Linked DNA regions of Alligator mississippiensis. The protein of the gene in region 1 purifies or fractionates together with the protein of each later gene. This does not show direct contact. Links are inferred from orthologs where the notes say so. Each region holds a gene or a part of one and is shown on either strand. Other genes may lie near its edges.

The links.
Region 2: the proteins of CLK3 (region 1) and TNPO3 purify together in Homo sapiens (affinity purification with mass spectrometry; 4 studies listed by BioGRID and IntAct, counting the BioPlex papers as one, with this or other methods). This does not show direct contact. The link is inferred for Alligator mississippiensis from reciprocal best matches to the Homo sapiens genes CLK3 and TNPO3.

Annotation. Positions count from the first base shown.
Region 1 is NC_081834.1:41,764,178-41,779,816, reverse strand, and holds the start of CLK3 (dual specificity protein kinase CLK3), read left to right. Parts: upstream 1-7,503; 5' UTR 7,504-7,557; coding exon 7,558-7,695; intron 7,696-9,785; coding exon 9,786-9,934; intron 9,935-12,600; coding exon 12,601-12,814; intron 12,815-15,067; coding exon 15,068-15,161; intron 15,162-15,454; coding exon 15,455-15,521; intron 15,522-15,639. UniProt on the Homo sapiens protein: Dual specificity kinase acting on both serine/threonine and tyrosine-containing substrates. Phosphorylates serine- and arginine-rich (SR) proteins of the spliceosomal complex.
Region 2 is NC_081827.1:4,058,841-4,074,951, reverse strand, and holds the start of TNPO3 (transportin-3), read left to right. Parts: upstream 1-7,732; 5' UTR 7,733-7,990; coding exon 7,991-8,116; intron 8,117-16,111. UniProt on the Homo sapiens protein: Importin, which transports target proteins into the nucleus. Specifically mediates the nuclear import of splicing factor serine/arginine (SR) proteins, such as RBM4, SFRS1 and SFRS2, by recognizing phosphorylated SR domains.

The DNA.
Region 1 (15,639 bases):
AAAAAATAATATTTAAGCCACTTCAGTTTGCCCCTCAATGCTTTATTCCTTCTTGTCTTGAAATGCAACAAGTGGAAAATCTTGTGTATCACACAGCAGTTTTCTTGCCACAGGCTGGGGTTGTTTGCAGCTGCATGTTTCAGTGTCTTTCCCCTGCTGCTTTGTTTGGTATGTCACGCTACAGACATTAGCACGCCTTCGTTCCTCACCTTCAGAAACCTTCCAGTGTTTCCATCAAATCTCTCTCACATACCATACATGACTTGTTGGCTATTAATAGTTGGCATCCACTTATACCTTTGTGAGTGTTTTCATTGACACATTTGCGCTCAAGGGGGAGGACTGTTGCGCTCAAGGGGGAGGACTGACTTCATTGGGAAGAATCCATCCCCTTCTCCTGAATGTCCAGCATCCATCCATCCCCTTCTCTGAATTGGTCATTTTTGGTAGGAGTTGCCAGACCCATGGATAAAAGCCGCTAAACCTAAGTGTTAAAAAAAAATCACAAATATTGTGAGATTTACACACACACACACACACACACACACACACACACTCTATCTATCTATCTATCTATCTATCTATCTATCTATCTATCTATCTATCTATCTATCTATAAAGAAAAGTGAGAGAAGCTTCTTTCTTCTGCCTTACAGTTTTTGAGAACTCAAGGGTCATGTTTTCAGGGTTTTCTCTACAACCCAAGATGCTAAAAACTTCCTTAAAAAAAAAGAGCAAGCTAATTTAATCTCATGACTCCAGGAGCTGGGGGCTTTAAGCAGATACCTAATGTTGCAAGACTGGTGGCTAGATCACAAGACTTGGCAACACCAATTATCTGGTGAGTGCAGTTAGAGGAATGCAAGCCTGTGCTGCAGATAAGAGGCAGTGAGTCCTGTTCCCCGTATCTACAGCACCAAACACTGTCTGATAGAGAGTCCCCCTGCCACATGGCTGCAAGAAGCCACGGTGCAGGGGAATTTCAAAACAGGGGGAGTTTGTGGCCCATAAGCCATGGCACAGCAGACACCAGGGGAGAAAGTGTGTGTGGCAGGGGAGAAAGTGTGTGTGTGGGGGGAGCAGTTCAAAGTGGCCAGGGAGAGCAAAATCCCAACGATTACATACTATAGGAACCCAGTGCTGCAGGCAAGTTAGATCACCTACACTCGTCTACGACGGAGGCCAAAACTTAGACCCTGAATTGGCGCACACACTCTTACATTAACAGCCAAGCCAAGAGCAAAGAGTCCCTTTCATGGGGGAAAGAAGCAAACTATCTTTAGCAAAACAACTCCCTGGAAGAAGTAACCTAGCACAGATGGTCATGGTTTGCTATTGCTGAACTTGCCTCTTTGGTGACTGTAGGAATGATTAAATGCAACGCAACAGGTCACCAGGGGCTAATGTTTTTGGCAGGCATGTTACAAATTAGCCCCAAACTTGAGTACCACCCCAGTCTCCTTCCTCTGCATCATGCTCCGCTTTCTGCTCTGTCACTGTACTGCTTTTCCCCTCCACCACATGCCACACACAGAGGCTGCCTGTGCTTCTTGTGGCACACATGCTGCATTTTGGCCACCCCTGTAATAGCTGATGAAATGTTTTATCAGGTATGAGCCTGACAATCCCAAGAAGGCATGATTTGAGAAAGACAGAGAGGAAATCACAGCAAAACAATGAAAATGCTAATACTGTTAGAAGGGAGTGTGAAGAGCCATGGATATGCAAATGCAGAAGAAAAGGTGGCAGGGTTTTTGGTTGTGGCTGTGTTGGTCAAAGGACATAGGCAGGAAACTTCTTTGGGTAGATGTAATATCTTTTATTAGATGAACTAAGTAGCTGGAAAAAAGTTATTTTTTCGAACTACTCAGTTCGTCTAATAAAAGTTATCTAAAATAATAAAAGATAATAAAATTGGTCTAAGTTTATTAACAGTTAGTCTAATAAAAGATATCTAAAAAAAGAACTTTACCCCAACTATTCAGTTGGTCTAATAAAAAATATCACATCTACCCAAAAAATCTTGCCTCCCGAAGGAAAGGTGGGTAACATGGTGCCAGAATGGCATGCCAGGCTTTAGCCCTGGGTGTCTACAGCAAAAACTCATCAAGAATGGATCAACTTCATGGTTAAGATAGACTTAGATGAGCTTTCGGGTAGCCTTCCTCATATTTCCTGGAAAAGCATGGCCACAACATCACTTGAACGCTACCAAAGGAAGTTTCATTGTTTTGGAAAAGGCAAGATAAATACATGTTAAGTTTCCGGCTATATCAGATTAGTTTCTTGAACTGAAAAGAAAATGATGTAGTGAGAAATCTAGGGGCGTAAAATGGAGTGAGAGGGAGGGTTTCTTTGCTAATGCAAAGTGAAGCTGTGCCGAAGCCAGCCAGTCTGAGCCTTCATGGATCCCTGAGCTTAGACTTATTACAAGTGTATGATCAATGCATATGATAATCTTACTGCACTGATGTGGTCATTATAAGTATTGCAATGCTGTTATCTAACATGTTCGCATTCTGTTACAGTATTTTAGCCCATTCATTTAAAGAAACTGTACAACTGTTCTCACCCCATACTGGTGAACAAGTTAAGAGGCTGTGACGTGGATGACTACACAGTCCGGTGGGTGGCGAATTGGCTGGAGGGCCGCACCCAGAGAGTCGTGGTGGATGGGTCGGTCTCGACCTGGAAGGGTGTGGGCAGTGGGGTCCTGCAGGGCTCGGTCCTTGGACCAATACTCTTTAATGTCTTCATCAGTGACTTGGACGTGGGAGTGAAATGTACTCTGTCCAAGTTTGCAGATGACACAAAGCTATGGGGAGAAGTGGACACGCTGGAGGGCAGGGAACAGCTGCAGGCAGACCTGGATAGGTTGGACAAGTGGGCAGAAAACAACAGGATGCAGTTCAACAAGGAGAAATGCTAAATGCTGCACCTAGAGAGGAAAAATGTCCAGCACACCTACAGCCTAGGGAATGACCTGCTGGGTGGCACAGAGGTGGAAAGGGATCTTGGAGTCCTAGTGGACTCCAAGATGAACATGAGCCGGCAGTGTGACGAAGCCATCAGAAAAGCCAATGGCACTTTATCGTGCATCAGCAGATGCATAACGAATAGGTCCAAGGAGGTGATACTTCCCCTCTATCGGGCGCTGGTCAGACCGCAGTTGGAGTACTGCATGCAATTCTGGGTGCCACACTTCAAGAAGGATGCGGATAACCTGGAGAGGGTCCAGAGAAGGGCAACTCATATGGTTAAGGGCCTGCAGACCAAGCCCTACGAGGAGAGACTAGAGAAACTGGACCTTTTCAGCCTCCGCAAGAGAAGGTTGAGAGGCGACCTTGTGGTTGCCTTTAAGTTCATCACGGGGGCACAGAAGGGAATTGGTGAGTATTTATTCACCAAGGCGCCCCTGGGGGTTACAAGAAATAATGGTCACAAGCTAGCAGAGAGCAGATTTAGATTGGACATTAGGAAAAACTTCTTCACAGTTCGAGTGGCCAAGGTCTGGAACGGGCTCCCAAGGGAGGTGGTGCTCTCCCCTACCCTGGGGGTCTTCAAGAGGAGGTTAGATGAGCATCTAGCTGGGGTCATCTAGACCCAGCACTCTTTCCTGCCTATGCAGGGGGTCAGACTCGATGATCTATTGAGGTCCCTTCCGGCCCTAACATCTATGAATCTATGAATCTATGAATCTATGAAACTGCTATTGGCCTTTGGATTTAATAAAGGCATTTTAGCCAAATTCTGGCATGGTCAATTGAATGCCAGTCATGACTGGGCTCAGTGGGCTGTTGGGACCTTTCCCTTTTTATTTAGTCTCAGTAGAAAAAGAACAAGAACCTTGAGCTTTTACCGACCAGCTACAGTATCTGTGGAGCAAACACTGATTCATGGAACAAGCCTATGAGATTAGATAGAAATATGGGGCCAAAAATATCCCTGTTGTAATTTAGCAAACTCAACAGAATTACACCAATGATTTTGCCTTAGTGTAATGGCACCCACATGACAAATGGGAATGCTGAAGCTAAGTGACTTGCCTGAACCCACACTATCAGTTAGTGGCAGAGCTGGGTGTGAATGTATTCAGATGTTGACTCTTTTCCAGATCTACATGCCATACTCCAGCTCTGCTTCTTTTTTAAGGACTAAGATGTGGGTGATTTTAGATTTAGGGAACCAAGACTTCTGAATTTGTTTGAAATGGGTACAGTTGGTGAAATGTCAAGAATAAATGCAGTATGTTTCTGTTACTTGTGTACTCATTCATCCATCCAAACTGTACAAATAAGTGGACTACACTAATAAATGGAACAGAAAAAAATTGCAAAAAATACATTAAAAAGCAACAGAAACAGATAACATAATTCCTGATCCTAATGTGGCACTGAACTGCAAGTCATTCCATACATTTTTCTGTCCAGTTTTAAAGACTGGGTGCTGAATAAATGAAATACTATGGGAATTGCTGTTCATTTACATCTTAGGCCTACATGTGATGGTATACGTGTGTAATGAATAAGGAAACCTCACACAAAACTGATCAATTCTCCTTCTCTCAGACATACCGTTGAATGAACAGTCCTATATAGGCAATAGGGTGGTTAATGAAAGGAATCATGTGTAATGTATCTCAAAAAAAGTAAAATACACTGTAAAACAACTAGATTACAAAAATATTTCATATCTTGAAACATTATGGTAAGTCATCTGTTGCAAGAGGAAATCTTTTTTCGTACTGCTCTACTCAACCATTGCATTATTTCTCTTTGGCTTTCTTTTTCTAGTCCTGGCTTATGCAATAAACCAAAATATGCTAAAAAAAACCCATTATGTAAATAATTGGGTGATGTTTAACTGAAGAGATAGTAAATGTTTTTTGACCTACTGGAAAGTAGGCAAATAATCAATACGCAACAAAGCAGAATTTACTGTATGCACCAATTATTCTCAGCCGGGGTGCTGCAGCACCTTGGGGTGCCTGGAGAGTCTTTCAGGAGTGCCACTCAATGTAGCACTGCTAGGCAGGCAAACATGATTCACAAGATAAACGCAGAGGCATCAAACAGGAAACCAAAGCTTCAAAACCATTCTGAGCTGCTACGGTCGTTTTGAGTTCATAGAAGACAGACAAAGTTCTTTGGGTAAATCCAATATCTTTTATTAAAACAACTCAAATAAAAGATATCGGATTTACCCAAAGAACCTTGTCTGCCTATGTTCTTAGACCAACACGGCTGCAACCTACACCCTTGTCACAGAAGAGTTGCTCTATTATTTTTCCATAGTCAAAAATGGGTGAAAGCTAAGAGCGTGCACTTTCTGAGGGGGACCTTGAGTCTAACAAGGTTGAGAACCACCGTTACGCACTAATGTGTATAAAGAGCACTGGTGTATTACCCTTACAAAACACAACTGGATAGTACCATCCAGGTAGGGTTGCCAACTCTGAATCTATTCCGGGAGGCTTCCCAAATGCCAACGTGCCTGTGACACACACGAGCGTGCCCACATGCTTGTGTATATCAGTTACAGATTAAGGTGCATGGGCTTCAGGCCAGGAAGGCAAACGCACATGATTATTACATTTTCAAAACCCACTGGACTACTGTATAAATCAGATTCAACATTTAATATATTTATTTCAATGAATGCCCTATCATTTATCTTCCGGTGACTCTCAGCCGTCTCCTGGAGATTTATATCTAATTCCTGGAGACTCCAGGGCAATCCTGGCGGGTTGGCACCCCAACATGCAGCAAGCATTAAGGAGAATACCCTCAAATCTACACTAACTGCTGTTTTCCTCTTCACAAAGCCCCACACGTGTCTTCCCACCCACTTGCCCTTTGCAGGTCGCAGCACTACAGGACTATCACTGACCGACCCACAAACCATACACGTCTTGGTCCGTGCCGTCAGCTTCTCTGCCCTTGCTTTCGTGAGATCCCCACCGTGCATGATTTTCAACACCAGGCAGCGGGCAGAGGAGACAAAGCCGTCCCTCACCATTGAACCAAGAACTGACCTCTGTTCTCCGTGGTGGCAGGTGCCAGAACAAGGAGCAACGGGCTCAAGATGCAGCAAGGGAGGTTTAGGTTGGATATTGGGAAAAACTCTCACTAGGAGGGTGGTGAAGCACTGGGCCGGGTTACCTAGGGAGGTGGTGACATCTCCATCCTTGGAGGTTTTGAAGGCCTGGATTGACAACGCTTTGCCTGGGATGATGTAGTTGGGGCTGGTCCTGCTTGGAGCACGGGGTTGGACTAGATGTGACCTCCTGAGGTCCCTCCCAAATGAACTTCCTACGCTTCGAGAGGCGGGGTCGGCTTGCTAGGCCCCGGGAGGTGGTGGGAAGGAAGAAGGGAGACCGCTAGATACAGGAACTGATTTCTTGGGGCAAATCAGCAGAAAAGAGGGACGGGAGTGAGGTCACAGGTCAGTCACGAGGCCTGGTTGACGCGTGCGGGACACGTGGGCCTTGCGCCCAGAACAGTGGTTGCCCTCCGCCCTTACGGGGACGGCTCCTGGGTTTGCGTCAAGGGCGCTTGGGGGACAGGTAACAAGCAGGGCGAGGTGGCAGGTGAAGCACAAGGAAAGGGGACACCGGGGAGCCTGCGGGCGTGGACCAGTGAGACTCTGCCCGCAGGCGAGGGGGGATCCAAAACTGGGGGGAGGGGCAGTGGGGTCTGGGGACCCCCTGGGCTGGGAGGGGAGGGGAGGTGCGGTGCTGGGGAGCCCCAAGGGTGACCCAGGGCAGCGCTCTGCCCCTTTAAGGGGCTGCCCCTGCTCCCCACCGCCCCCCCCCCGGCCCTGGGCCCAGCTCCGCAATCCTCCAAGCCCAGCAAGAAGGCGGCTAGAGCGCCGCGCGGAAGGGGCCGCCCCCGGAAGCGCCGCTCTAGCGACAGGAGGCGGTTGCGCGCGCACACTGCGCGTCGTCGTCGGAGCGGGGCGACAGCCGGAAGCGGAAGCAGCGGCTGGGGCCTGGCTGGGCCCGAGAGCACAGCGCTGAGGGGGCGCGCGGCGGTGAGTGTGGGGGGAGGGGGCGGCTCCGCATCCGGCCCTCGGGGGTGGTGGGGGGGCGGCAGAAGTGAGGATCCCTGCAGCGCCCCGCCCGCGGCCCCCTCCGCGGATCTCCCCTCACGCGCATGCGCCTTGGCTGGAGCCGCCTCCCGCGCCCCGGGGCAACGAGGGCGCCAACCCCTGCGTCGGAGGCAGCGGCACGGCGCGGATGGGATGTGCCCGCCCGGCGCCGGGGCCGAGAAGCGAGGCGGCGCTTGCCCAGGGGGCTCGGGGCCTAAAAAGGTCGAGAGCGGAACCCGTTTTGTCCCTTGGCGCGGCGCCCGCCGGACCGCCGAGCTGCGGACGCGAGGGAAGGGCCGGGGGGTCGTGGCCGCAGCCGCGGGGGGGGGCAGCTTTTTCCCTCAAGCTTTAACGGGAGGGGGGGAATCCCCTTTGTTTTCAAGGGCCGACGGGAGCTCTCCTTTCCCTTGCCAGACAAACGACTGGCCTGGGCAGCCTGCCAAAAGCAAACTCGGGCTGGCTTTGCGTATGCTCCCAGGGGCGTGCGTGCGTCGCACCAATCCTGCGGGACAGCAGGGGTTGGTACCGATGAGGATTGCGCATCCCGAGCCCTCCTGCACCAGCAGAGCCGGGTCCTGGCTGTGGAGGGCCGAGGCATTCGTTGCGGTGAGATGCTGCCAACGCTGTAAAAAGTCATTGTGGTGGGGAGGGATCAGGAGGGCTTTAATTTTGGATTGGCAGCCAAGTCCTCTTCAGCAGCTTTCGGCCACGTCAAGGATACAAATGGGTCAAAGTCCTTTGGCGCTTCCAGGCCAGGATCAAGTGTCCGTGCGCGGTGGCGGGTTGTGTTAAGGATTAAGGCCTCGTAAAAGGTTTTTTGCGCTGAAAATGGATCTGCTGGCTGGCGTCTGTCAAAGCAAAAACTAGAAGCCTCTTTGGCACGTGGTGATTTGGGTTGTGTTTGTGATGTGCGTAGGGCAAACGAGGAAGCAGGCAAAAAGATGGGGGAGTCATGTAGTTGAAAGGAAGGGAAGGCTGTGGGCATGGGGATTACTTGCTTAGTTTTTCCCTCTCTTGGCTGGCGCTTGCTTGTGAGGCGGTAGTGGCTTAGCTTGGCCACTGCCCACCTCTGTTGCTGCCTGCAGGAACAAAACTGATGCTTTCTAGTGAAAGCGATGGAGGGACATTCACTGGATATGGGGGCCAACGAAGGTTGAGGGGCAAATATGTGATGAGGAGCTGGTAAAGGCCATCCACCCTGAAGGAAAAGAGGGGAGGATGTTTTGAAGGGGAGGTGGACAGAAAAGGGCAAATGAATTAGAAATAAGGGAGCAGGAGAGAGCCACACAATCCATACAAGGCAGCGGAGAGACACGGGTTAAGAAGCCGTTCCATAAAGGGATCCTGACGTGTGTTTTTCTTTTAAACAAAGTTTGACCTTTCTGCATCTGACTGACTTTCATTTTCTACGGTGCAGAACTACAAGCCCCAGACAGTAGTTTCATTTTAATGCCTATTTACATTATAACAGTGCTATGCTATTTGAGTTTGGACACTTCTGGGTTTGAATCTAAACTGACTTTTCAATGGGATTTTTCTTTAAACAATGTTTTGGTGGGCATTTTTTCTTTAATGCGTGGTAGTTTTGTAGTACAGGTTTAGTATCTTAAATCTTGAGCTGCTGGTTTGAGAGGTTTGCATTCTTTTCTTGGGTATTAACGTAACTGATAATTGTGATATTACATTCAAACAAAATTGGATCCAGGTTTCCTGAAATGACTTCTATGCTCAGTTGCCATCTGATACGTGGTGCTGACGGGGTTGTGGAGTGAGAGCAGAAGATCTGCTCGTGCATGAACTGCACAAGGCTGCTTAAGCTGCCAGGAATCCCTTGTGTAGGTGTATCCAGGCCACATCCCTTTCTGTGAGATTTACTTCTCCCAAGTAAGGCAGATGCAATAGCTACCGTGACTGCTCTGCGCCACCAGAGGATTTCTTCTTGCACGGGAATCCTCTTGGGGGCATTTCTAGTTAGTGATATTGGAGCAGGACAGAGGAACATGGGGGCACAGGCCATTAATTGGGCCATTATTCTAGCCACCATGTTTTTTAATTTCATGTCTTTTGATAGTGCTGGCTTTCCAGGCATTATTAACACAGGATGAGTTCAAACGAATGATGAAAAAGCAAGAAGGTCTGCACAAAGGCCATCTGGTCTGCTGATCAAGACCGAGTTTAATTGTAGTAAAGGAACACTTGATTTAATTTAGTCCCATTATAAATGGAGTTAAATTAGTTCCAGATTCTTATCCCCACCCCTGTACTCTTACAATCACATGTCCTATTTGCTTAAAATACTTTTGTATATCTCTAGCTTATAAAATATTTGCAAATGGTGTGAGAGCTGAATACATGAGGGAAAAAGTGAAATCTCAGTGGAGAGTGGAAAAATCCAGAAAAATATTCTGATTGTTTTTCAGTGGGAGTAGTAGTAGGTGTTAATAGGTATTAGATTGGAAAAAAGGGTGATGTGCAACTGTTCCCTGCTGTTGCACACATTGCGGAGACTTCTTTATTTATAACTGTAATTACTAATGTTGGTGATGACTTTTGTTGCTCTTTCTCTCATCTCCTCATGGCTTTTTGTTTTCACCTTCTTTAGTTAATAAGTAGGGAGCTCCATGAGACTTGCAAACTGTCAACAGTTTGTTCCAGTTGATACCTTTTACTCAAGTGCCTTCCTTATTGCGCCCCAGATGCATCACTGTAAGAGATACCGATCCCCGGAGCAAGAGACCTACATGAATCACAAATGGAAGAGGAAGAGGTCTCGCAGCAGAGAATACGAAGGCAGATTGAGATACCCACCTCGCAGGGATCTTTCAAGGAGATCACGATCTCGAAGGTGAGAGCAGGCTTTATCAAAGGCTTGGACTGTCTTCTAAGCAGTTGCTGTGGAGTGGGCAGGTGTCTGCCTTAGATGGCTGTTGTGTTTTTGGATAAACCTTTGATTCTCATCTGAGCGTTTGAGATGAGATGCCTAGCACAGGTGCAGGCCTGTCAGCTTTACAGGTACAGCAGAAGAATACCTAGCCTAATATTACATTCTTTAACTCTTGTTTTGCCACTTTCTTGGCTGTGCTTTCATTCTTAACCTTGGATTGAAGTCCATGGAAAGCTAAGACATGATTAATGCACAGCAGAATACACTTGCTGAATGGACAAGGTTGTTCAGGTGCAGTTAAAGATTAGTTACTCCAGCTTCGCTATTCTTTCATATGGACTACATTGAATAGTGATCTTCTGGATGAAGAAACCACCTTAACTGATGAAAACCTTTGCTGTTTAGTTTTACATCATGACTATCTCCATATAGGCTTGGTGTGGGTTCTTTAAGTGTTTGTAACTATACACTTTTGTGCTGCTTAGTTACCCCTGAATCCTCTCTGCATCTCTAAAGAGTTAGCAAATGGGGAAAGTTGTAGATAATGGTTTTTTGGCCTGCCTACAGGACTGGGGTTGGGGTTGGAGCTGTATTTCAGTTTTGGCTAAGTTCAGTAGTGACCTAAAGTTATTGCCATCTGTTTGGCAGCCTTCATAAAATAAATTGGTCTTGGTCCAGCATTGAATGAAGTGCCTACATTATGAGAATCGCTAACCTGTTTGGCAATAGTTGGCTGCCTTGCTGACATCCTCAGTACAGAGGAAAATGAAATAGATCCCCTCCCAGCCTACATGAGTGGCACCCAGAATAATGATTAAATAATGCAGACAATCGCATCATCTAATGTAATCAAATTGCAGTCAGTTACATGCCAAAAGTACTAGCCTTGACCTAGTAACGTTTGCTCTTAAGATGTAAAATATGCTCACCTTGTGTAAAATATAGTACATGGTCCAGTTCTATGAACTGTGAGCTTTCCTACCAAAATACTGCCTTTTTGTCCAGTAATGTATACCATTTTTGAAAGTGGTGATAGCACATGATCAGTGAATTTATTTGAAAAGCCAAATATGCCTGTCACCCTCTTTGGCAAAATACTGGGCGTCTTCAGAGCTAAAAGCATGAGTTGTTACAGTTGGAAATAAAGAGCCGTGGCTCTAGCTTGGAGCTATAACAGCTCCCACATCTTCTTTGGAATGAACCCAGAAGAGGGACCTTGTAAAACACTCCTGTTACTCTGCACCATTTACTGAAATCAAAGCTTTGATTTATAAAGACTTCCCTTATGCAAGCATTTATCTTGCAAAGGTGAAAGGACTGTCTAAAATCCTTTGGCACTGAGTTACACAGTGAGGTAACAGGATGGCCTAACATCCACCTTATCCACTTTATAACTGGTGTTATAGACCATTGTCACCAGAGGCCAGAAACTAGACTATACAGACTGAACTTCTTTTTGGCTCTCAGAGATAGTGTGTGCACTTGTACAGTACTCTAAGCTGCAGTGTCCTGAGTCCTTAGTAAGAGATGGTGTGGTATCCAGGCACTGATCATGATTGGGTCTCATTGTATCCCAAGTATCCTGCATTTCCCTGGGTGAGTCATTGTGCTTCAGTTCTCCTTGCATTAAAAAAAAAAAAAAACCACAAAAAAAATCCGTAGTTCTGCTTGAAACAGAAAAGCCACAAGGGAGGCTTGGGGAGAAAAATGTCCATATAGCATGGTGAGGAGTTTTATATGAGTACCTAGGTAAGTACAGACATGTACTAACCAGCTCCAAATGCTATGCCCCCTATTATCTAAATATGATATTGCCACATAGTTCCTTAGAAGTCCTTTTTGTTTTAGAATGTGAAAACTTGCCATGCTGGGTCAGACCAAGCAATCTATCCAATTAGTATAATGTCTCTCACAGCAGCGGAGTAGATGCCAAAGGAAAGAGTACTTAAGCAGGGAATATCCAGACTGATCCACTTTTTGTCCCTCCTGCCCTGCAGCTTCTAGCTTGCAGAAGCATAGGGAGTCCTAATTTTGAGGTTACACCCTTAACTGTTGTGTTTAATATACATGCTTAGGGACTTATCCTGCATGAATTTGTCCAATCCTCTTGTAAACCTGGTTAAACTATCCACCTCCACAACATCGTGTGGCAGGGTGTTCCACAAGCTAATTATACACTGGAGGGTGCAGGGGGAGGGAATCTGCCTTTTGTTTGAAACCAACTATCTATTAATTTCATTGCTTGTCCCATAATTCTAGGATTGTGCGAGACTGTAAATAGTAAATCTCTATATACATCCTGAGCTTATGATTTTAAAGGCTTTTCTCATACCTCCTCTCAGTAGTTTCTTTTCTTGGCTGGAAAATCCTAGTCTCTGTTGAGCTTCTCCTTATACAGAAGCCCTGTTGTACCCCTGTTCACCTTTGCCCTTCTCTGTAGCTTCTCAATTTGAGTTACTTAGGCTCAAAGCTCTGAGCAAGAACTGCTTTGGTATGTTCTCTGCTGCCAGGCAGAGGGAATAAGAGCATGCATCGTCAGGTTGCATTTGCTTGCAGCTGTGCTGTAGTTTTTGAACAGTGTGCCCTTTCTTCCCAGATTTATAAATGGGATCTTATTTGTAATGCAGCCAGGACAGGATGCCTTACCACAGGAGGTACCGAGAGAGACGGGACAGTGACAACTACCGGTTTGAAGAGCGAAGTCCTTCTTTTGGAGAGGATTATTATGCTACTCACTCACGACACTGGCGGAGATCGAGGGGCAGAGAACATCAGCGAGCAAAGAAGCACCAGCATCACTGTCGGAAACGCAGGACCAGGTCTTGTAGCAGTGCATCCTCGGTGAGTAGAATCCAGAATGAGTTTGAGAGGGTTCTAGGTTTTTAATTTCTCTTACCTCCTTTCAGCTTTGAATACATTGGGTGAGTACTTCTAATCCCTCTTCTGCTTTGTTGTTGATTTAAGTGGAACATAGAGTGTAATAATTCAATGTCTTAGACTCAAAGTGTTTAGCAGCTGTTAATTTGTGAAAGTCCTACCCTGTGTAGTCCTAATACCTGGGAAAACTAGACTATGCTCCCAAGGTAAAGAGAGGGGGAGAGGAATTAACTGGAGTTCTCTTCAGCACCATTACAAGGGTGCCTTGGATGCAGGTAAAAATGGTGACTGCATCTGGTTCTGGTTTCTCTCTGTGGTTTTAGTTTCTCTTTCATGTGATGAGGGTTCCGCTTCTGCTGCCTATTTACATTTCAGCCTGAACTATTATTGATACACAGTGATGGCACAAGATACTCCTTTGTGGATTGTGTCTATTGAATTGTGCCAGAATCTTGCGTCCTTTAGGGTGAATCAACTGTCGCACCCATTCTTCAATGCTGTTGGCACGATGGTTGTCAATTCTTGCCCCGCAGTATTAGGGAGAAGGCTTCTCCTTGAGTGAGCACAAGCATGGCCTGCTTGACTGTTATTACAGACTTCCTCGGACTGAAGCTTCTCTGAGAACTTCAGTGTTTTCAGTCCGAGCCTAATGAAGCAGTCTCCCACCTCATAGGTGCTTGAGGTGTTTGCCAAATATATGATGTGATGGGGGGAGAGAGTTATCCCAGGACACTGGAATGACTCAGAAGTGTTGTGAGGCACCAGACCAAATGTCTCAACTTCACTGCTTCTCATTACTCCAATAAATACCAATTATATCATTCACGGTTCTCATGTTTGTTGCTTTTTAAATATTGTTTAAACAAAATGACTTGAGTCCTGATCCCTGCAGGAATACTGGATACCTGCATGGTTTGGAACTCTTAATGGCCCATTACTTTATTCTGTGGTCTTCTTCTTCTTCTTTTGTCTTAGCCAATGTTAAATGATGGAAATGCTCTATTAACTGCGTGTGCGTGTGTGGTGGTAGTGTGAAGGGTTTGGCTAGTGTGCTCTAAATCCTGTGTTGTGAAGTCTTCTGGCTATCTGGACTATGCTCTCAAAACACTTCCTCCATTTCAGATGATCTCTTAGGCTTTGTTTGTAGGTTATTCTTCTGCACTGGTCAGGGAAAGAGTGGTGGAGCGCATTAGGAAGTGCAGGTGTGGACGTTTAAAGCTCTGTTACCATATCCCTGGCTATAGAGAATGCAGTGAACTCTATACGGCTTTTTTTGAGAGGCCAAGCAGAAAAGTTCAGTGATTGGATAGAACAGTAGTTCGCTTTGCGGGAGGATTTTCTTCTGCTGGGAGGAACCCTTCAGGAATGTTCGGCTGGTTTTCCAGTAGAAGCTTAGTAGCAACGAGATTGATTCAGACCTCCTATTGTTAGCAGACCAGGACCAATGAGCCACAGTGCTCCCCAGGGACTTAACTGCCCTGCTCCAAGCAGCACAGAGGAAGAAGTTCAACACTGGCCCTATCTGTGTCCAGTCTGGCTTGCAAATGTAGGATCAGTTGAGTTGGTGTTTCTCTCAGAATTGGAAAGGCAGCTGAGTGCCAGCTTAGGGGCAGGATAAGTCTCTGAGACATCTGGAGACAAGTAATGAATAGATCAGACCAAGACAAATCATGCCGAGGGCTACTCTGGCTTCTACTGGACAGCCTGACCAAACTGATTTGTATGCTCTGTCCATCCTCATGTTTGCCAGTGGAGAAAATGACATTACTATGGCGAAGCACTCGTTCTTCTCGCACCTCCAGCAGTGTCCTCTATTCATTATAGAGGAAGCTGCTCCTCTCTGACAAAACGGTGTGGGGAATACTTGTGCGAACCCAGTGATATGGAGTATCCCAGCTGCCACTCCCCTCCAGAGAAGAGGGTGGCACTTCCTGCTAAGAGGCTGCCGCATCAGACCCTAGCTAATGAGACCGTTTTCTTTACATACCTGTAGCTGTTTATTACTTTTCTGTTTTGAAGTCAGTTTGTGTCTTGACGTGTCCCTTGCAATATCCCTATCGTTATATATGCTGTGTGCCTTATGAAATGCTGGGATCTGGAAAATCCACCCACCGACGCATCGTCGTCTTCACCTTTGAATGACAACACAATCTGCCAATCGGAACTGCCCGCTGCGTGCGATTGGTCGTATGCCGTTTCGGGGGGCGGTGTGTACAGAGAAGCCAACAGAGCAGTAAACGCAGCAGGAGCGTGGAAGATGACAAGGAAGGTCACCTGGTGTGCAGGATCGGCGATTGGCTCCAAGAGCGATGTACAGCCACCTTTCGTAAAACTTTACCTCTCTACTTTCTATCCCCATGTTAGACAAGATCTCTCTTATTGTTCTGGAGGGGTCTCTAGTGTTTATTGCTTATAAATGGACTGACCAGTAATTGCCTGAAGCAGACAATAGACACTTCTGTTAAAGAGTGTGGCAGTGAGAGATACTTTTTTATTTTTTTTATTTTTTTTATTTTTTTGACATTTGAATGCTGTGATGAAATTGCAGGACCTCGCTCTCTCTGGGTGCTCAGGGCTGACATCCGCTCTTGTTTTCTCTTTTAGATGAGATTGTCGGCAGCCTCGGTGAAGGCACTTTTGGCAAAGTTGTGGAGTGTGTGGACCATGCCAGGTAAGCAGTTGTTACTCTCCAAGTCACGTGCCAGTTGTGTATCAAAGGATTACAGATGTTGTCAGTTGGGTGTAGATTAGGGTTCATCAAACAATCATTAACTTTTTCCACTAAATAA
Region 2 (16,111 bases), on another chromosome or scaffold:
GGAGTAGGGCTAGGGCTCGGGTCTCAATCTGCCCCCTTCCCCCACAGACGTACGTGCTGGGGGAAATAAATTTTTTCTCCGTCCGCCTCAATCTGCTCCCCACCTTCCCTCCCCATAGACTTACCTGCTGGCGTGGGGCGGCACGCGGTAGATCTTGGGTTGCTTTTAAATTCCAGAAGTGATCTCCTACTTAAAAAGGTTGGAGACCACTGATTTAGCTGGTGGCAGTCATCTGACTCGTGTATCTGCCAGCCAATGTCGTCTGCTACTTTCCTCCTAATGTAAGCGGGCGCTATGCCGGATAGTACATATAGGCAAGGAACAGGGATGGGTTTTAGGCAGCCGGTTATAATTCTACATGTATCATTTAGGTTGGTATCAATATGTTTACTGTGACTTGAGCGTCCCTACATGGTGGAGGCATACTCAGCCACGGAGAAGCAAAGTGCTAAGGCAGTGTAGGGTGGATGGATGTGCTCCCCACCTGGAATTTGTGAGCTTGCGCAGTATGTTGTTGCTGGAGTAGATGACCTTGAGAGATCCCTCCCAGCTCTTCTTTTCCTATGGCTCCTATCGCAGAAAGCTCTCTGCTGCTTCATGACTCCAACAACTTTCTTCTTTGCAAGCCTGGCACATCCCCTAGTTAGCCCCAGTATGAGTTTTTCTCCTTTCTTCACATGCCTTTGTCACTAGAAACATGTCTTGGACCCCACATCTCACCCACCCTATGTGTTCTTCACAGACTCCCAAAGTGCTACCTGATTTTAAAGCTTTTAATTTTAATTAACTCTCACCATCTTTCCTCTCATCCAGGGATGGATGTGGAGGCAGAGTAAAGTGGTGCACCCCCCCTTTGATTCCTGCTCCACCCAAATTTTACAACCAACTGCCTGAGAGGGGCAGCAGCATTTCTGTTCAGGCAGCACAGAGGGAGTCAGTTTAATTCATGGCTCATTATAATCCACCTGATCCCTTGGCATCTCTCTTTACTCCACAGGTGTTAATGACCTTCTCTCCTTTTGAATGGTCTTGATGTTCCACTATTCAAACTATCCTTTCCTTTGCAATGATGCTGTCTCTTAGCCGTTCCTGCTAATATCTCTTTTCTATTTCATGCCCCTGCCGGTCGGTTCCAGCGCTAGATAAAAACCTTAACTCGTTTGTGGTAATAGTAATTCAGGTGTAGAAACGACTGACAGTGAAGTATTGGATGCACTGTCAGGATGCTCAAGGAGGCTAGATTTTGTTTTATGAGTCTGAATAAGATGTGCATTTAACTATAGTGACTACAGGACCAATGAAACAACATATTTTGACTATTTTTTTAAACTCTATTGTTTAGCACACCTGTGGCACAGGTGACAGAAGTGGCACGGGCAGCCTCTCTGTGTGGGAGAGCAGAAAGCAAGGCATCAGATCAGACATGGAGCATAGGGAGGGAAACAGAAAGCAGAGCAGCAGCAAAAAGCAGAACAGGCACAGGGAACAAAAAGCTGAGCAGCAGGTCAGATAAGGGAAGGGGATCGAACGGGCACTTGCAGGGAGTGCAGGGCTAAACGTGGCATGCCTGCCAAAAAACTGGGCACACCTGACCTGGCAAATGAGTGCACATTCCAATAAAGTTATATTTGTTTGTGCTTTGATCTTAAGCTTAATAATATAGTGCTAGGCTCCTACTATATTAGTAAAGCTTCTAGTCTCTCTTTCACTTGAGAAAAATCTGTGATAATGTGTGACACCATCTGAACCCCTGTTTCTGAATCCTAGATCCACCCATGCTCTGCTCTCTAGGTTACTAGTTAAATCCAGTGCCAGGACTTTAGTGGATGAAAAGTTATCACCATTTGGTCAGCTGGTAAACCTCAGACCGTTTCCTAGCAGCTCGTTTCTGTGACATGGACCCTTTTAAATGCAGTCTCACAACGGAGAGAGCAACACTGAATGGGTGAGAGAGACTGACCCGGTATCTCAGCTCAGTAGGGCTTCCAGGTCAGGTGTGAGATACACGGGTGGTGGACTAAAGGAAGCAACTGGATTTAAACCTTCTGTGCTATCAGCTCAGCATCTTTCCTGCTTCAGCAGAAGGGCCAATACTTCTCCAGCACTAAGTTCACCCAAGAAGTTTCAAAAGTAATTTCTTAAGAAAGGAAACGGGTTTAAGGTATGACCTCTGACTCTGCCCAGAGTTCTGTACAGCATGAGGCATTTGGTGGACACACAACAACATATTAACTTATGGAAATATGTCCTGCAGAAGCTCTGATTCTTCCCCTCTGTGTCTCTACAGGGGAAATTGTAGGGTTTTACCCGTCTGTGGCTGACTGCTTTGTTTCGTTTCTCTGGAGCTCTGCTCTTTTGTCACGTGCCCTTCACTGAACATGCCCTTGTGATGCACTGCCTCAAGGTTGCAAAACTACCAGGCAAGCAGGAACTAGCACACAATTATGTAGGAAAAGCAGTGTCATGCAGGGAGGCGCCCCACCCACCGTAGTCTCAGAAAACCAAAGAACCAAAGAATGAGCGATGCTTACTGACCCACTATGACCACAGTCTTTCTGAGCTGAGTTGGGGTCATTTGCTTATTTGTACATAATAGGGGTGCTTGACCCCCTGGTCCATGGGGCTGCGTCATCCAGCCCACCTGGACCCGAAAATTTGGCAGTGGGGGAGTGGTGGCAATGTTAAGTGCTGCTCCTACTGCTGCTGAATTTCTGGACCCATGAAGAGCCCCGTGGGCAGGTAGCGTGGCTCTGTGCCCTAGATCAGGCACTCAAAGCTAGGTCAGTGTGAGGCTGGATCCGGATGGTACAAAGCTGGATCTGAGTGCGTGGGGCCGGATCCAGGCATTGAGAGACCAGGTCCAGGTGTGCGGGGCCCAATCTGCATGGCATAAGAGGGGATCCAGGTGGATGGGGACTGATAGGGGTGACACAGGGGGTGCAAGGCTGGAGCTGGCGTTGTCAAGCAGGACCCGGGTGAATGAGAACTGATCTGAGCAGCATGAGACAGGATCAGGGCAATGTGAGACTGGATTCAGGTGCATGGGGCCCTGGGGTCCGGCTTGCAGACTGGGTCTGCACCACTCATCCAGCCTGCAGGACTAAATGGTTGAGCACCAGTGGTATATAAGAATAAAACTCAGCTTTCCTGATGTGGATGCTGCTCAGAAGTCATCTTCTCGTTCCCTTCCCACTCATATTTAATACGTGTTTGCAGTCACCTCCTTGTGAAAACAAGGGGTGCTACAATTATGCTTATTATCAGGCAAAATGACTGACAACAATGAAAGAGGAGCAAACCAAAGTGTCACCAGTGCAGATCACAGAAGCCAGCTGGTACGGGACTAAAGTAGGCGAAAGGAAAGTGGGTCTCTGAAAACCAGCCCCTGAAGAATGCAAAGAAAAGATTTCCTTCAGCTCTACATTACTTCTGTGTAAGGCCCAAGATTTGGTCAGCAGTCACACCACCTCACTCTCTAATTGCCTCTCACAAATAAAGTGAGAATAAATCTCGTCAGAAGTTGAACACTTGCCATCTAAAAATACTCCTACAAGAAGCAGTCGTTAAGAGTACCGAAGTAAACAGGAGCTTGGCATAAGGGGGACGGATAAATAGGGGTGGCGATGGTCCACCCAAAGTTTAAAACCAAGTGCCTACCAGTGGCAGCAGCATTTCTAATGGAATAACTCATTATAATCTACTTGATTCCTTCTAAACTCTTCATTCCAGGGATGTTAATGACCCTCTCCTCTTTTTAATGGTCTTGATGTTGTACCGATCCAGCTAGCCAAGGCTTTCTTCTGAAATCCCGCTGCCCGTTCGCTGCTCGTGGTAGCAAAGCTCCTATTTCACAGATCATTTTTAACTCATTCCAATGAGGTTATATTTGGTTTTGTTTAAACCAAATAATCCAGGCCTAGGTCCCTAGCATATAACAAAGCTTCTAGTTTCTTTTTAACCAGAGAAAAATATGTGTTGTTTTTATATGTGATTATGCGATCATCTGCACCCTGCTTTTCAAAATTGTAGATCCACCCATGGAAGGGGGTGCGGTGCTGATGAAGGCGCTGCCTTTCAGAGATATGAAATCCAGCCCCTGAACACTTATGTTGGAGATCTGACTGAACTTTCTCATCATAACAGAGTGGTTGGCTTCTTGCAAAATACCAGCCTGCATAATTGTTTTACTTCTCTCAGCTTCCAGTGCAATTTCAGTTGGACCTGGAATTCTTTTGTTGTGCAGTATCAACACGCATTGTTAAATCAACCCCATTTTTGGTATCAGGGGGTTCCTTCATAGCAATAGGTGAGGTGATTTTGCTGTGTATATATCACTTTCATACTTAATACTCTTTTGAGATGAAAGGTGCTTTACAGAGAGAGGGAAAAATTGATTATAATTCTATTTCTCTCTTAATAGAGGATCACTTATCTGAATTTCAATTTTTAGTCATATACAGTAGCAGGAAAATTATGCAAGTGATGGCCTTTTTGGTGGGGAAGTTGTAAACCACACACAAAAAAATCACTTCTGCGCTCGTTCATGGCATAGGAAATGGATGAGCCACTTTTGCCCAGCTGTTAGCATAATCCAGCACCCTGCCCCCACAAAGTTTCAACAGCATTTCATCCCATCAAGTTTATACTTTGGTCAGCACTTGGAGAACAAGGTAGACAAAAATGAAGTAGTAGGGCTGGAGTGTTGCACCCATGATGGTCCAGGAAATAGTTGAAAGGCAAGCTTTTTGTGATATCTTTTTTGGTGTGTGTATATATACAAAGAGAGAGGGTGGGAGAGAGAGTGTGTACACACACACACAAGCAAGAGCCCTATCATCTATTACATTTTTTTTTGCCTTTCCACCTGAGGAAGGTCACCTGATGCCCTGAAGCTTGTACAACATCTCTCCTGAATGATACAGTTGGTCCAAAAAAGATATTGGAAGGCAAGATAGATTTGCACATTATATAAATACACAGACATACACACATAGGTATATATGGTTAGTGTTTAGACACGCCTCCCAACAGCCATTGGGAGACAAAATAGATTTGCACCTTATAGACTAATCAAAATGTGTGAACATGTAGACAGAGCGATAGATTGATCAATATTTATGGTTAGTGTTTATACCCCTCAAGGTGCGTGTGTGTGTAAAGAAATGCAAAACTAGTTCTTGGTTTAGATATACCTTTCATTAGACCAACTAAGAAATCGCAAAAAAAATAAATAAATCTTTTTCTGCACACTTTCGGGTGCACATGCCCTTCTTCAGGCTCAGGGCAAATTAAAGAAGGTAAAAAATCCCTATAGGTAGAAAATAAACTTAATTTTGCACAGAGGAAGCTGAAGGTGGACATCTGTTCCTGTAGGTCAGGGGAGGGCAAAATGCAGCCCACGGGCCGCATGTGACCCACCAGGCCATTCTGTCTTGCCCACGGGGCCCCTAAAAAGTGTAGAAAATGAATATTTATCTGCTCCTGGCTGCCTGTTGTGCGGCCCTTGGTGGCTTCCCGAAACTCAGTAAGCGGCCCGCCGCCCAAAATAATTGCCCGCCCCTGCTCTAGGTCCATGACAGTGTCTTTGCGAGTTGCTCTTTGATGTGCAGATAATATATGTGTGTGTGTATATGTGTGTAATATATACGTTTGTGTGTACACACACACACATATACATACACACCCACACTGTATACACACCCACACACTATACACACACACATTGTATACACACATACTTTGGTGGGTGGCATTTGTCTTTGGTGCATGTAGGGACCCCCCCAAAAGGCCAATCTATATACACACACACTTTGGGGAGTGGCGTTTGTCTGGTGCGTGTAGACACCTCCCCCCCCCGCCATGAAGGTGCCAATCTATATAGTATAAACACACACAAATTACACACACACACACTGTGGGGGGAGGGTTGGTGTATGTAGACACCCCCCCATGAAGGTGCCAATCTATATACTATACACACACAATTATATATGCACATACACACACACATTATACACACAACTTACATACAAACACACTTGGGGGGGGGGTCTTTGATGCATGTACACACATATTATACCCACCCACACAAATGTGCCAGTCTACTATATACACACACAATTATGTATGCACGTCACACACACACACACACACACAGGGGGCGGGGGTGTTTGGTGCGTGTAGACACCCCCCCCCATGAAAGTGGCAGTCTATATACTACACACACAAGTATATATGCACACACACACATTATACACACACACACGGGGGGGGTCTTTGGTGCTTGTAGACACCCCCCCCATGAAGGTGGCAGCCTATATACTATACACACACACAATTATATATGCAGACACACAATTACACACACACACACACAGGGGGCGGGGGTGTTTGGTGCGTGTAGACACCCCCCCATGAAGATGGCAGCCTATATACAACACACACAAGTATATATGCACACACACATTATCCACACACACACGGGGGGGGGGGGTCTTTGATGCGTGTAGACACCCTCCCCCATGAAGGTGACAGCCTATATACTATACACACACACACACACTTGGGGGGTGGTTTTTGGTGCATGTACACACATTTTATACATCCCCCCATGAAGGTGCCGGTCTACTTACTATACACACACACACACACACACACACACACACACAATTATGTATGCACACACACACACACACACACACACACACACACACGGGGGGGTGGGTCATTTGGTGCGTGTAGACACCCCCCCCCCATGAAGGTGGTAGTCCATATACTACACACACACACACAATTATATATGCTGTCACACAATTATACACACATACGGGGGGGGGGTGTCTTTGGTGCGTGTAGACACCCCCCCCCATGAAGGTGGCAGCCTATATACTATACACACACACACACAATTATATATGCAGACACACAATTACACACACACACACACAGGGGGAGGGGGTGTTTGGTGCGTGTAGACACCCCCCCCATGAAGGTGACAGCCTATATACTATACACACACAATTATACACACACACACACACACACTTGGGGGGTGGTTTTTGGTGCATGTACACACATTTTATACATCCCCCCCATGAAGGTGTCGGTCTACTTACTACACACACACACACACACACACACGGGGGGGGGGTGGGTCATTTGGTGCGTGTAGACACCCCCCCCCATGAAGGTGGTAATCCATATACTACACACACACACACACACACAATTATAGATGCTGTCACACAATTATACACACATACGGGGGGGGTGTCTTTGGTGCGTGTAGACCCCCCCCCCCGGGAAGGTGGGAGCGCGCGGCGCCCCCCGCGGCGCCCCGGGACCACGTGCGCGGCTCCGCTCGCGCTTCCGGGCACCAGGTCCCGTCCTCACGCGGAAGAGCCGAAGCGCGGACTAACCCCGGCCCCCCCCGACAGCCCCAGGGCGGGGCTGGGGAGGCCCTGCTGCCCCCGGACAAAGACCCCGCGCCCGGGGCAGGGCCGAGGCCCGGCGGAGGGGACAGGACGGGAGGGGACGGGGGACATTTTATTGGAGACCCGGGAGGGGGGGGAGGACGCGGCCCGACTCGTGGCCGGGGGGGGGGGTGGGGGGAGCCGCGCACACACATCATGGCGACGGGGCGGGAGGGGCTTGCTGCCACTTCCGGGTGGACGCGGGGGCCCGCTTTCCCCGTGGCACCGCCGGAAGTGCGTCGCGGCCCCTTCCGGCTGGCGTGGCCCCCGGGCTGGCGCGGCTGGGGACCGTTGCGCGGCCGGAACGCGGCGAGGGGCTCGCGTGTTTCCCGGCGGGCCGCGCTGACGGGGACACCGCCCTTTCCCCCCTCCCCTCCCCCACCCGCCACCCCCTCCCGGTAACGGCCGCGGCGGCGCGCGGACATGGCGGCGGTGGCGGCGGCGGCCCGCGCCGGTGGCGGCTGCTGAGGGGGCCGGAGCCGAAGCTGGAGCCGGGGGCGGGAGCCGGAGCCGGCGCCATGGAGGGCGGCGGGGGGAAGCCGAGCCTGCAGGTCGTGTACCAGGCCGTGCAGGCGCTCTACCACGACCCGGACCCCAGCGGCAAGGAGCGGGCCAGCTGCTGGCTGGGCGAGCTGCAGCGATCGGTGAGGGCCGCGCCGGGCCGCGGGGGGGGGGCCGGGCACGTGACTGGGGGGGCACCCCCATAAATAGCTGGGGGGGAAGCTTCCCTGGGGGGGGGGGAGGGGAGGGGAGGGGAGGTTAGCCCCCCCCCCCCCAGTTGGGATTATTTGCATCTTTCCTTCCTCATACACAGGAGGCAGCGAAGGAAAGTATCCGGGTTGGGGGGGGCTTGGAGTTTTAGGGGCTTCTCCTCCCCCCCGCCCCCCCATTGAGGGTATATGCCTCCATGGATAAGGGGGGGTTTAGGGCGATTCCCTCTCCCCCCCCCCCTCCACAGGCAGCAGGGAAGGAAAGTATCCCTGGGGGGAGGGGGTGTTTTAGGGGCTTCTCCCATCCCCCCACAATTGGGGGGATTTGCCTTGTGGGGGGGGGTTGTTTTAGGGGCTCCCCCCCCAGTTGGGGTGTTTTTCCTCTTCCCCTTTCCTTAGGAGGTAGGGAACAAAAGTATTGCTGGGGGGAGGGGCGTTTTAGGGGCTCCCCCCCAAGTTGGGGTGATTTGCCCCTTCCCCCCCATTACACAGGAGGCAGGGAAGGAAAGTACAGGGGGGTTGGGGTTTTAGGGGCTTCTCCTGTTCCCCCCCCCCCCTCAGTTGGGGGTATTTGCCTCCCTGGGGGGGAGGGGGTGGGGTGATTTCCCTCTTCCCCTTCCCTGACATGGGAAGCAGGGAAGGAAAGTATCCCTGGGGGAAGGGGTGTTTTAGGGGCTCCCCCCTCCCCAGTTGGGGTTATTTGCCTCTCTTTTTCCCCTCCTTACACATGAGGGGTGGGGGGGCAGAGGGGATACAAGAAACTCCTGAAACTCCAACTGGGGTATTTGCCTCCTTGGGTGGGGAGGTGGTGTTTAGGGGACCCCCCATTTGGCATTCCCCCCCTTTTCTCTCTCCACAGGTGGCAGGGAAGGAAAGTATCCCTAGGGGGGAGGGGGTGTCTTGGGGGCTTCTCCCATCCCCCTCAATTGGGGTCATTTGCCTCCCTGGGTGGGAGGGGGGGTGTTTATGGGGCCCCCTCTCAGTTGGGGTTAATTCCCCTTTTTTCCCTTTCTACAAAAGGCAGGGAAGGAAAGTATCGGGGGGGGGTTGGAGTTTTAAGTGTTCCCCCCAGTTGAGGTTATTTACTTCTCCCCTCCCCCCCACAGGAGACAGTGAAGGAAAATATCGAGGGGGGTGTTTTAGAGGCTTCCCCCCCCAGTTGGGGTTATTTGCCTCTCCCCCCCCAGGAAGTATAGAGGGCTGGAGTTTTAGGGGCTTCTCCCATCCTCCAACTGGAGTTATTTGCCTCCCTGGATGGGAGGGGGGTGTTTTAAGGGCTTCCCTTAAACTGGGGTTAATTCCCCCTTGTTTTCCCTCTCTGCAAAAGGCAGGGAAGGAAAGTATCCTTGGGGGGGTTAGAGTTTTAGGGGCTTCCCCCATTCCTCCCAGTTGGGGTTTTTTTTTGCCTCCCTGGGTGGGAGAGGTGGTGTTTTGGGGGTCCTCCCCAGTTTGCCCCCCTTTTTGGCCCTCCACAGAAGGCGGGGAAGGAAAGTATCACCGGGGGGGGGGGGGGGGAGGGGGCGGTTGGAGTTGGAGTTTTAAGAGCTTCTCACATCTCCTCAGTTGGGGTTAATTGCCTTCCTGGGTGGGAGGGGGGGGCGGTGTTTTAGGCTTCCCCCAAGTTGTGATGATTTGCCTCTTCTCCCCCCCCCCCCCCAGAAGGAAGGGAAGGAAAGTGTCTCTAGGGGGGAGGGGATGATTTAGTGGCTTTCCCCCATCCACCCAGTTGTGGATATTTGCCTCCTGGGTGGGGGGGTGGCATTTTAGGGGTTCCTCCCTACTTAGGGTTAATTCCCCCTTTTTCTTCCTTTGCAAAGGGCAGGGAAGGAAAGTATCTGTAGGGGGGGAGGGGTGGTGTTTTAGGGACTCCTCCAGTTGGGGTTAATTGCCAGTCTGGGCAGGAGGGGTGATGTGTTAGGGGCTCTCCCCACCCTAGTGTGAGTTAATTCCCCCTTTTCCACCCTCTACAAAAGGTAGGGAAGAAAAGTGGGGTTGGGGGGGGAGGGGGTGGAATTTTAGGGGCTTTTCCTTAGTTGGGGATAATTTCCTCTTTTTTTTTCTCTTCCATAGAAAGCGTGAAAGGAAGTATTCCTGAGTGGGAGGGTTGGCATTTTACGGGTTCCCCCAAGTTGGGGATATTTGTGTCTCTTCCCCCCAGCCCCCCTCCACAGAGGGCAGGGACAGGAAGTATCCCTAGGGAGGAGAGTCAGAGTTTTAGGGGCTCCCCCCCTCCCCCCTGCCACACCCAGTTGGGGTCAATGGCTTCTTCCCCCCCCTATTCCACAAAAGGTGGCGAAGGAAAGTATTCCTGGGTGGGAGGGTTCGTGCTTATGGGGCATCTTTCTTGTTTGGGATCAGTTGTCTCTTTCCCCTACCCTCCTTCCCTTCCGAAAAGGTGTGGAAGGAAAGTATCCCCGGTGGGAGGGGGTTTCCAGTCTCATCGCCTGAAGGGAGTGGCACAATGTAAAGAGAGCGGGCGGCATGCGGTAGTTTTACCCGTCTCTCCCTGCTCCTGGAGAGGGCAGGGCTTTGGCGCACCACGTTGTGTACTCGATAGTTGTGCACTCGACAGCAAAGACCTGAGGAAGGGCACTGTGGTATCCAAATGCTTGTCTGAGTCTATCCCAACCAGGCCATTGGGCCAATTGAACGTTCTCACCTTGCCCCACACTTAATTATGGAAGTTTAGAAATCCAGTAATCATTTTGCACAGGTACCGACAGCGGGCAAGCTGGTGTTACAGAATGTTCCAGCTGGTTAGGATCTGGACTTCAAAACAGAAACAAAAATAAAGTTTGCTAATAGACAGGCTGTGCACCGAAAGTAATAAAATAGGCAGTTGAAGAAATGGAGCAAAGCAAGTTAATTTTTTGCCTGTATTGTAGCCAGCTGCGTTCCCCTAAAATAGTAAGAAAGTTCCATTTCCCGTCTGTTATTATGGGTAACTTTCTTTATCCTGATAGCCAGATAAACAGATCAGGTGTCACAACATATCACTTCTGGACTCCACCCCAGTACTTTTCCGACTAGGAACTTTACTCTCCTACATTTGGTTCTGTGGAACTGCTGTGAATTGTGACAGCAGGGGGAGACTTCATTTCCTCTACTGTTTGCAGTCAAGAGCTTTTCTTTAATGGTTTATCCCACAGCCGGGATCTTTTGTTTTTGCCAAAGAAATTCCTGTTTCTGGTAGGCAGAGTTCTACTTCTTGATAGCAGCGGTTCCTAGCAAAGCAGACTTTCTGAACTGAAGACGGGAAAGGGAAGATTCCTTTTATTTGGGGCAGTTTTTATGGTGGTCAAAAGAGAGGAAATATAACCAGGAACCTGAGTCTGCATTTCTGTTGGGCTAGATTTTCTTCCTCTGTACTTTTTGATAAGACAAATCATTTTTCCCTGATTAGCTGCCCCCCCCCCCCCCCCCTGCCTTTCACTGGAGAAGTAGAAGGCCAGGTTTTAATTATTTATTTTTGTTGCCTGCTTCCTGAAACATCTCTCTGAATCTAACATTCATCTCGCATGGTAGAGCAGTGGCAGTTTTTGGCTACTTTTACAAAACTTACAAGTTGCACGTTGGGCTCTTCTAAACTGATCGGTGAGGTTGAGTCACTCTTCCTGGTTTCTGAATCTTCAGGCTGACTAGTGCTTGAGAGGGAGTGACAGTCTTGCTAGACTAGACATGAGCCAGCAGGCTAATCTGCAAGCTGGGAGCCAGTACAAATTGTCATTGGTCCCTTGGTGGGTCGTGGATGTTGCCTTTGAGTGTCCGTTTGCTCCCTCTGTGTGCAGTGTGTTCTGTCTTCTCTTTTGATCCCTTGTTGTGGAGCCTGTTGAATTAAGAATAATGTCATTACTAGTGCTCTAACATCATCTGCATTGACTCCGGTCTGTAATTGGCTCCTCTTCTCTGTGCTGTCTTTTGTTTCCAAAAACTCTTTGGCTGCTGCTTCCATTTTCCAGGGGGGAAAAGGAGTGAAACTTGAGTCCCTTATTGTTTTGTTCACTTCTGTGGCTTTCCGAGGAGTAAGTGTTGTACGGTATTCCCTGATCTGTTCAGCTGCAAAGCCTCAATTCCTTGTCTGGGGAGGTGGAAAGCAAGTGGGGCGTCTCTGTCAGACTGTCCCCAAATAGGTAAGTTTGTTTTTGGAGTTCTGGTCAGTTTTGGGAACACTGGGCAGGTTCAGAACTGACCTGTCTGATATAATCCTGCTGCTCCAGGTTTGTTCCCTAGCTAGCTCAGGTTTTAAACTTTTGTGAAAGAGAAGAAATGCTTGGGAATTTATTGGAAAATAGTAGGGGAAGGCTGAAATGCCAAGGAGGCATACCTGAGTGTGACTGTTTCCCTGGGTTCTGGTAAGTGTGTCTGTCTCTGTGGACAGGAACTCAAGGAAAAAGTTTCACAGAAGTTTAGGGCTTGAAGGGACATTGAGATCATCGGGTCCAGCCTGCCTACTCTGGACAGGAAAGACTGCTGGGGTCAAATAACCCCGATTTAGACTTGCTAAATGCCAAACTTTTTCTTCCTTTAGATGGCTCAAAATGGGGACTCCTAGCTGCGTCGGCAGCCTTCAAGCGTCTGAGAGCTGCACTTAATTTGCATAGCTAAGTACAGCATCTCTTCTGTGTGAATGGAGCCTGTGGAGACTCTGGGTTCCAGCGTGCACTTTCCACATCTGCTTGGATTGAAATGGAGTGATGCAAAAAGGGACTTGTTGCTTCTCCAAGCTGCATCTCACTACTAACAGCGAGGGCAGCCTTTGCCCAGAGTAGCAGCACTTGGGATGGTGCACTTTGCCTTTGTTTGAAGCTTCTAGTTCTGAACTGACTTTAGGGTGTCTAAAGACCTGGGTATCTAGGACGTCTAGTGGTTTTGTTTTGAGGTGGCTGCTGTTTCAGACAGCCCTAAATTCATCAGTCCAATTGTGGATGCTTTTTTTTTTCCTATGTTGAGCTGTCTCAAGCACTCGGGTTTTCTCCACAAGGGCTAGGGCTGGTAACAATTCAGAAGTCCACGCTGGTGTGTTATGGTGGCGTATAAGCAGGACAGCTGCTGTGTGCAGTGGGGTCATCAGACATGCATCTTAAAATGTTTAAAGTATGTAGATGCATGGGACGAAAAGGGGAAGTACAGATCCAGTGGGGCGGTCGAGAATTACCTTCTGTGAAGATAATTCATTGAATATTGGACCCTGAAGTCTGGCTGTACCCCTGCATTAAAGAGAAGGCCATCCATTTCCTGTCTGCTGCATGTAACCCTTTTGGTCCCACTTCAGTTCCCTGGTCCAATCTCTCATAAAGAAGTACAGGCAAAGTTACCAGATCTCTTGGGTTCTTTCTAGCCCGACTGCATGTCTGGGTGGGATTTGTCATTTGGTCCCATTCTCTTGTAAATTGGTGACCTGGGCTTCTGCCTGTTTTTTGTGCCAGGTTGCGCTTATCTGTGGTTTGCCAGGTTGCTTTATGAAATAAAGCAGTGGAGTACGCAGTTCATTTTTAGTTTTTGTCATCTTGAGTTCCTTGTCCAGCTTAACTTATCATTCCTTAAACATTCGTTCTATGCTAACCTCTCCCTTACGTTACTGTAATAAAATAACCCATAGTGGCCACACAAGGTACTTGCCTACAACACCGCTGGTTGCTCACCGTTACAATTGTAGTAAGCGTGTTGACCTAACTCTTATGCCAAAGGAAATCCTTTTTTTCCATTTATAAAGAACTAAAGCACTTTCTCATGTCACCTCATGAGAACTGTTTTCAGAAATCCTTTCCGGGTTTTAGATTGTCCAAAGTTGTAGATAGTCTGTCTGCTGGTTTACTGCACAAGTTCTAGTGCCAGGGTTTTAAAGAGCCCACGCTAACACATCTCCCAGTTAACATTTCTAGCTTTCATTCTTTTGTATTGATGCTCGCATCAGGTCTGGTGTTTGATTTTAGGGGCATCTTGTATGCGGAGTTCTGAGAATTGCTCCCCAGGAGGCCCCCGAGCCCTTCCATGGAACAACAACGTTCTTGGTTCAGGGAATGAAGGAAACGAGTTTAGGCAGAAATTGGGTGCACTTGGAACAGAAAATAGTGCTAGTTCAAACCCTTCAAACTCTCAGTGCTAATTAAAGAAAGATGCCGGTCGTTAGGCACATCTTATCTCTGTTCTGACGTACGATTTGACCAAGGATGCAGAGAGAATCTGACTCTTTTGTTCATTTTCCTTTGAAATAGGAAGGAGTGTCAACAGTGAGGCCCATGGGCCAGATCTGCCTGCAGAGGCCCATCGTCTTGGGCCCTGGTGCTGTTCCTGGGTCTTAGAGTTGACCTGTATGTGAGGCCTGCCCTGGCTGCTCTGAGATCTGCGTTGCACCCACCCCACATGCAGTGCAGCCCCAGACCAGCTGGGCCAGGTGCTGGATCTGGCATGCAGAGGTGAGGGCAGGGGGCTTTGTAGGCCCAGTCTGGCTTATGGACCTGGCCTCATGCCACTCATCTGGCCTACAGGAGATTGACACCCCTGTAATAGGGGAAACAGTAGTTCCTACTTGGTAGAGAGGTTTGGTTGAAGGCTAGTTAATCCTCAGTTAATAGAAATACAGCTTTCTTCAGCTATCAGCTTGATTTTTTTTGTTTTTTGTTTTAGAAGGTGCCCTGGACATTATATTAGCTTTACAGTGTTCTTAGACTTGAAAATGGACTAAACCTCATAGTATTGCTTGAGATAATACGCGTCATTGCCGTGTAACAAAAATGACTGAATGAGGCATGTGCCTCGCCTCACAGGAAGTTGGTGACTGATCAAGAGCTACTGGCCAGATTTTATAACATTCTTCCTTCTTAAAGAGAGAATGCATGGAAGCTTCAGCACGTTTTGTCTATTCGGGGTGCGGGATTTATTTGTGCTTAATAAACCACGGTAATCCTTTACACAGTTATTGGCAGTGAACACACGCTCAGCTCTTACGGGGATGTTGTATAAAGGAGGGGGGTTAGTCAATTTTGGTGGTGTTGGCAGTTTGCAAACTATGTGCAGCAGTGAGTCATACAGTGCCGAAGCGCTGTTTGAAAATGGCCAGTTCTCATATGTGTATAATAGGAGGATTTAGGGCACTCCAGTGAAATGCTTGCTAAGCCCCGGCCAGAGAGCAGGCATTGAAGCAAGTATCTGTTTGAAAATTCCAGCATAAAGGTCTCTCCTCTCTCTTTGTTAAATGGCAGCATTCCTCTGCGCCCCCCAGACGCTAACATGAGCTGCAGCTTTTCTGCTTCACCTGGCTTCTGCCAGGCTGGAACGGTCTTTCTGAAACTAGGGCCTTTCCCATGGTGCACATGACTCTGTACCCTGCTAGCAACCCCAGCACACACCCCTGACAGACAGCCACTTCCCTTGGAGCAAGGAGCAGTAGCTTTTCACTCACCCTCTTTATTACTAATGCTTAGTTACATGGCGCATCTCATCCATAAATCTCCAGATACCCAATATTAGCCTGTATCCTGGAGGTGATGAGACTGCAGCACTGAGGTGGTCAGTCATTTGCTCAAGGTGGCTCAAAGGCTGGCCTTGAATCCTGACCCTCAGTGTGTGCTTTGTCCATTGGATGCTGATGCTTTTGTAAGACGGGTTTGTTCCAGAGGGGGATAAAACTGTCTCCTGGACCCCTCGCCCTCTATTCCTTTGACCATCTGGCAACGTTACCTGTTGGACATATGCTTAATGCATCAACCTCTGTTGAAGATAGAAGCAACATAGATTGTAAACCTGAAATAAGAGGATTTAGTGTCCAGTGGGTTGTGTAAAACAGGGAATCCAAAAGCAATGAGTGTAATCTGTCTCAATGCTTGACTTTTTACCTACTGAACCAGCAAGAAATGGCCAGCTGTTAGCCACAGCCTACTTCAACTTGTTTTTGACCATTGACCTAACATTTAAAGAGCTCTGGCAACA